2 linked regions of the Tribolium castaneum genome follow. Each later gene encodes a partner of the first gene's protein in a complex. Links are inferred from orthologs where the notes say so. Each region holds a gene or a part of one and is shown in the gene's direction. Other genes may lie near its edges.

Region 1 (3,181 bases):
CACAAAAATGAGGGTTTACTTAATATGTAATTACGAGCCTGAAAAAATTTTTTTTTATATTTCTTTTGATAATTTTAAAATAACAATGTTTAAATGGACTCTGAATTTGGCAGATGAGATATCGAAAAAATAAACTTTTAGCAGATTCATTCCGTATATTTTAAACCTGGGCTATTTGATTATTTCACATTCCAGTTCGTCAAAAGTGCTAAAAATGGAGGCTTACGACGCGGCTGTGCTCTCGTACGCGCTCGCGACCGCGGCCACGAAAATCAAGCCCGGCCTGCTGGGGATAGCCCCCATGTTGCCCCCGAGAATCCCCGACGGCGAGTCGCTCACGCCCCCCACGCGTCACCAGGAAACGGACGAGAACCGCAACTATCTCTACCAGCTTCTCTGCACCGTTGAGCAGCAAATCGTCAACAAAACTGCGGTACAGTTGCCCCAACTGATGGAAATTTGCGCAACGAAGCAGGCACAGGTGCGGCAGCCCCTTTTGTACCAAAATTCACCGCTTTTTGCAGGTGGATCAACAGACCATCGCGTACTTGGAGACACTCCAAACCGAGTTGCGACAAATTTGCAAAAACAACCCCTCAGCCACGCATTTACTGCAACTGCGAATCGAGGATGAGGGGGAACACAGTCCGGGAGTGTCCTTAAATACCGACATCGTCGTGAAAAGTTTGACCGAATTGATGAAACATTTCGGGCTGGTTTTGGGGCCCAATGTTTTAAAGAAGATTTTGTAAGCCTTAATTTTGTAAAAATTTTATATTTTGCCAGTTTCGTTCACGAACCTCATGTATGTGGCAAAAATATTACATATTTTAGCAGATACTGTCAAATTGTACATTTATCGATGAGTAAATGACTATTACCTGACTGAATTGAATTTGGCGGCCCCCCGTAACCTTACTTTTGACAAAATTTGAAAATGGACAAATTATAAAGCGCAAATGCACCCCAAACATGCAACCCACACCCCTGAACCCGGAATTACTCACCTTTGCTGCACCAAACGCCCGGCGGCACTTCTACAGGAAAAATAAATTCGAATTTTGAAACCACTTTGAAAGTAAAAACTGGTCACGTGACTAGTTGTGCTTGCGGTTACAAATCCCGAACACGATTAACATAAATTGGGCAAGCAGTACAATAACTTGCGTTAAAAACCACATGATCCAATACTTCCGTGCTTAGTCATTATTAAGGAAATTGGGGAAAAAAATATTGCATAACTTTCTGGCCCCAATGCCGGGAAGTGTCTCAAGTTACGTCACTCAATTCCCATATAACCCCACTTTTAAACCGCACATAAACAATGAATAATTTGGAGATCCCGGCCGATTCGGCCCCCGAATTCACCTCAACCAGCGAGACTAGTCTCCTGGTGGTAATCGTCGACAGTAACCCCAGCCAGAAGATGCTCCGAGACAACCCCCACGTCCTCACCCACTGCATAGACTCAGTCATAGCGTTCGCCAACTCTCATTTAATGCAAAAGGCGCAAAACAAGCTCGCCGTGATGGCTTGCCACTCCAAGACCAGGTACGTGCCCCCATAACCACCCCACTGTCTTTACCCCTAAACTCCAGCGAGTTCATCTACCCGGGCCCCAACAAGCCCCTCGACGTGCGCCAAATCGACGGCCAGTACGAGGTTTTCACGGCAGTGGAGAAAACAATCAAGCAGAACTTGGCCAAATTGCTGGCCACCGAAAAATCAACTCTTGTGACGGAGTCACTGCTCGCAGGGGCGATCGCTATGGCCCTGTGTTACATTGCGCGGATCCAGCGGACGAAGCCCCCCGGGTGTGTCCTAAACAGCCGCATTTTGGTGGTGACGGGGAGCGGAGACTCCGCCTCGCAGTATATGAATTATATGAACGTTTTTTTCACGGCGCAAAAACAGGGAATTGTGATTGATGTGTGCGCCCTTGACCAACATTTGAGTCTGCTGCAGCAAGGCTGCGATATCACAGGGGGGCTGTACTTGAAAGTCCCGCAACTGCAAGGCCTGTTACAATATCTTCTCGTAAGTTTTGTTTTTTTTTACTTAATTTCCTCATTTTTGCGATTTTTTATTTGAAATAATAAATAATTCTATTAAATGTTTGCTAAATGTTCGCATTTTAAGAAATAAATCACCAGATTTGGTGATATTTTACTAGACGTGGAAACACTGGCGTGTGAAAAATCCATTGCCAGCGTTGCCAACCTTGAATTATTTCCAGTGGGTGTTTTTGCCTGAGCCGCCTATTCGGCAAAAATTGGTGCTTCCGCCCCCTGTCAAGGTTGACTACAGGGCGGCTTGTTTCTGCCACCGGGAGTTAATTGATATAGGTTACGTCTGTTCGGTGTGTTTGTCAAGTGAGTGAAGTGGGCCGGTTTAAGCCCCAGCTAATGATTTTTGTTACAGTTTTCTGCAAGTTTAGCCCGATTTGTACGACTTGTCAGTATGTTTTTTCAAAATTGTGTTATTCGTGGACTAATTTTTTTTTCCAGTACTGTCTTCAAAATCCCAGGACCGTTAGCTGTGAAGCCGAAAAAGCGGAAAATCAAGTTGTAATAAAAATTTTTTTTGTTGAATTTGTTTTATTATTACCCTTGATAATGATAAATGCGCATTGTTTTGATTGGAATGAGGTCAGACGGGTCTGGTATTAATAGTTTCTAGGTCGTTTCTTGCTCTTTATTTACAATATATCATCGTAGTCATGTTTTATTTTGATATAAAATATATAAGAGCACTTTAAGTACTACAGAATAATAAAATATATTGTGTTGAAAAAATGTTAATATCACAAAAATAGTTCAGTCTGATTACCATCAGACGATGCTAACAACTGGAAAAATATGGTTTTCGCTTAATGCCCTACCTAAAGAAAACAAAAATTACAACTAATACTGTAATTTACAACAAAACTATCAACAATATGGCAACTGAATTCTTATCACTTATCACTCAACTAAAGTCGTCACGATGGCCATGACACTGATCCCTGCAATAAGGGCGAGGATCTGCTTGAGTGACTCCCGGGGGTCCTCCTCTTTGAGTAAATCCGGGAGGACCGTGACCAGCGCGATGTGGAGGAACGTCCCGGCCGTGAAGGGCATAATCCACGACGTGCGGGCCTCTGTAATCCAAATTAATCCCACTTTAGGCCCAATAGAGATTT
Region 2 (3,760 bases), on another chromosome or scaffold:
TTTCAGTAATTAATAATTACAATATCTACTGAGAGCAAAAGTATAAAACCAAGCCAAAACTATATACCTTACTAAAAATACGACCAATTAGTATAAAGATGGGATGTTTTATTTGTAGCCTCCCATAAAAAGGAGATTTTTTTTACTTTTTAATATAATCTCCTTGTAGTTATTAGCACTTATAGTCAATTGATGTTTCGAAATCTTTATACTATCCTTGTGGACCGATTCTTGTAACTCTTCAAAAAAACTTTTTTTAGCTGTAATTTCTTCAAACTTTGTTTTATACTTATTTCCAGTGTAATATTTTTTAAGTCCAGTAATAGACTGAAGCTAAATTGTTATACATTGGCGCATAAAATCCATTGGATTGCGTTAAAATAGCTCCAAGCATTGAAAATATCTGATTTTTTTCGGTGAGCTTTTGTGCTCAAAGAAGGAGCAATATGCCACCCATTTTGCCAATTTTTTCTCATACTTAAAAACTGATAAAAGATATGATGTTTGTGTTTTAAAATCCTCAAGGTTTGAACTATTTTATACAACTTTCATTTGTAATCTTCCAATACCGTTCTTTGGATTTTTCTGACTATTTCTGCAGGAGAAGCACTTTTCAACTTTTTTCGACGTGGTGTTTCCTAAGGCCTGTACCTGTATGGCTCAATTGAAACTTTGCAATACAGTTTTAACTATGCTAATGTAGAACCTAACACATTTTAAAAATATTTCTTTACAGTTCGAAACTCAGGTTTCACCATTTCTTAAAAAATCGAAAACTTAGGGCAGCCAATACAGAATTTGATACAAGCTTAGTCACTCTTCGAAAGGATAAAACTACATAAAAATATAATAATTAATGAAAAAAAGTCAACTGCTTTCTATAAGAGACCGCGAATTAGTCATCACATTCTAATCTATAATTTCATTCTAAAATAAATTATTAAATTTGCGTTCCGAGCTCATTACGAAGGTTTTTTGAGCTTGGTCGAAGTAGTTGAAAAAAAATATTGCCAAAACTTCAACTTAAAAATCTAACTCGAGAAGAACTGTATGTTGTGAAAAAATACACAAACAATGTTTTGTCAGTTGGATGTGACTGTCTTACCCAAGAGATGGTTCCGATTTCCCGAACGTTTTAAATCAGCTTATATTGCTTTGAAATTGGCGCCAGTTTATTACTTTTGAGGTCGCTACTGTACGTTCTTAACAGAAATCTGCTTTACCAATAAACTGGAAGTCGAATGACTGAAACCTGTTTTATCGGTACAGTGTCGATTAACTATCACACTTGTCAAAACTTGAAAATTGTCATAATAACAATAAATAGAGAAGAAATAGTGCAAAATTGTACAAGATGGCGAGTAGTTCAAGGTATTTTAGCATAAATAACTTGTTACGATTCCAATTTCAATAATAATGATGTTAACCTCAAATAATATTTCAGGTATGACACGAATAAGGTTTGTTGTAATTCTCATCCAGATGCCCCCCTTATTGAAGATTACAGAGCAGGCGATCAGATTTGCTCCGAATGCGGTTTAGTAGTAGGTGACAGGTAATATTCAAATCAATAAAACGCATCATAAGTTTATTTGCTTGCATCATTGTAGAGTAATAGACGTTGGATCTGAATGGAGAACCTTCAGCAACGAAAAATCGGGGGTCGATCCTTCTCGTGTTGGTGGCCCCGAGAACCCCCTTCTTAACGGCTCAGACCTGACCACAATGATAGGCCCCGGTCGAGGTTTGTTTTATTTAAATATTCCACTCAAATAAGCCTTTAAATTAAAATGTTAGTGAAAAGCTTACCTTTTTGAAATAAGTTACTGTCTGTGCTACTGTGAAGTATTTCAAAACGTTTTGTTTGAATCACGAGAAGGTATTGAAAAAACGAATAAACGAATAAAATGTTTCGTAATGATTGTAAAAAATCGATGACTTGGAAAAAAGTTTTTAATAAGAATTGTAAAGCATAAAATTCTATATATTAATATTCTGCCGAATTTTTTGACATTATTCAAATAAACAGAGTTTAGGGTGGTTGCAATAAATATAAAGGGATGATCTGTACAATTTTAAAAAGTGACTATAAACATTTGATTATTTTGCAAAATTTTCTGCTGCGTTGTAATCCGAAGGTCGTTTTTGTATTGGAAATTGTTTTCATTATGAAAAAGACGTTTTAGCGAAAAAATTACACAAACCTAAAACTGGACAAATCTTGAGTTTACAACCTCGTGTCTTCCTTTTTGATAAAGCTAGAATTTTTTTTCACAAAATTTTCAATTAATGTGGATGTTTACGTAGTTACTTAGTTGAATATTTATAAAGGGAACCCGAAAAAAATACATTTTCTTGTAACGTTGCATATTTGTGTATCGAAATTTTTGAGATGCAAGAAAGTTTTTTTGTTGTATAAGACAAACCTCTATTGAATAGAAATGGAATGAAGCTATTCCAGTAATATTTAGACAACTCTTGATTATTAACTGGCAATATTGCTGACCAGGATACTTGCCTCTTGTGATCGGTTTGAAGTTTAAAAAAATTGGGAAAATTTTGATTTTTAACTGTTAAAATTAAACAAGCCCCCTCTAATAACCCGAACGGTATTTATTGTACCTACAATCCGAACGTTTGAATTTCGTAATCCGAAATACCACATGTTGATTTTAATTCTTGATAGTTGTTTGCAATACATTTTAATTTTGTATTTTTTTATTTTGAAACACTTAACGGTGTTTATAGCCACTGAGTATAATTTTTGTGGTAGGGATATGTATTTGCATGGTTATTTGGTTATGTAAGGTAACTGTAAACCGAACGCGTGTTGGGATTATTGATATTATTTGCAATCTGCAAATTTTCTGTTCGAATTATTCAAACATTACTGTACTTCATATCAGCTTTTGGTCACGAATCATTTCGATATCTGTAATAGTTTTTGAAATATTGGGAAAAATCCACTAATAGAGGGAGCACCCTTTTCAGAGTGTGTAGGGTAGGTTTCTTACGAAGTACTTATCAATACATGTTTATAGGAAACGTTTGTCTTAAAATTGAATGTTCTATCATCTGTTTAAATTCGTAACAATAAAAACGGAACACTCTGTATAAATGTTGCTCTTATTTCTTACGATGGGAAACACATCCAATAATTTTTAATTTCTACTGGCTAATTTTGTCATTGTTAAAGTCTTTCAATAAAGTAAAACCTGTGTGAATAACTTTTAAAGTTATTTGCATGCACAAGATTTTTTTACCCCATATGTGTAAACAAAAAGTAAATTAATTAGAAGTTGTAACATATTACCTTGTTGTTCGTTTTCGTGGTTTCAAAAGATTCACCTTTAACTTCAAAGATAATTGTTGGAATTAGTGCACTTTAAATTAACAGAATTGTATAATGATTGCTCAACGAAAAAAATGTGAGGTCTTTTCTGTGTCCCGTCCGTCATCAATTTGTGTTTCTTTTTCCTGTCCATATTTGAATTTTTACAAATGTGGCTCCTATGTAGGTTGCAAACCGTTTAACTGGTACTAAGTTCCTATAAATAAAAATTCACTTTTACTGATACTGTTCATAAAAACTGAAAATGAAATAGAAACCATGTGAAGTGTCCCGTCCGTTAAAATGGAATGGCTGCTAAAACATACTTTGTTTTTGATTTTCAAAACGTTTTTAACTTATATGTATAGAAAGATGCAAGCTTTTTCCCAAAATTTTGATTTATTTATTTTGACTGGACAACAAAACTTA

The links.
Region 2: Tfb4 (region 1) and TfIIB share a complex: the UniProt entries of both Homo sapiens proteins name them as parts of the TFIID-containing RNA polymerase II pre-initiation complex. The link is inferred for Tribolium castaneum from reciprocal best matches to the Homo sapiens genes GTF2H3 and GTF2B.

Annotation. Positions count from the first base shown.
Region 1 is NC_087395.1:24,750,844-24,754,024, reverse strand, and holds Tfb4 (general transcription factor IIH subunit 3), read left to right. Parts: upstream 1-1,148; 5' UTR 1,149-1,324; coding exon 1,325-1,551; intron 1,552-1,598; coding exon 1,599-2,037; intron 2,038-2,173; coding exon 2,174-2,372; intron 2,373-2,421; coding exon 2,422-2,458; intron 2,459-2,507; coding exon 2,508-2,571; 3' UTR 2,572-2,591; downstream 2,592-3,181. Other genes in the region: Cdk12 (cyclin-dependent kinase 12), read left to right, coding at 196-481, 525-752; Zip99C (zinc transporter ZIP13 homolog), read right to left, coding at 2,964-3,139. UniProt on the Homo sapiens protein: Component of the general transcription and DNA repair factor IIH (TFIIH) core complex, which is involved in general and transcription-coupled nucleotide excision repair (NER) of damaged DNA and, when complexed to CAK, in RNA transcription by RNA polymerase II.
Region 2 is NC_087398.1:13,752,159-13,755,918, forward strand, and holds the start of TfIIB (transcription initiation factor IIB), read left to right. Parts: upstream 1-1,222; 5' UTR 1,223-1,354; coding exon 1,355-1,371; intron 1,372-1,444; coding exon 1,445-1,555; intron 1,556-1,610; coding exon 1,611-1,744; intron 1,745-3,760. UniProt on the Homo sapiens protein: General transcription factor that plays a role in transcription initiation by RNA polymerase II (Pol II). Involved in the pre-initiation complex (PIC) formation and Pol II recruitment at promoter DNA.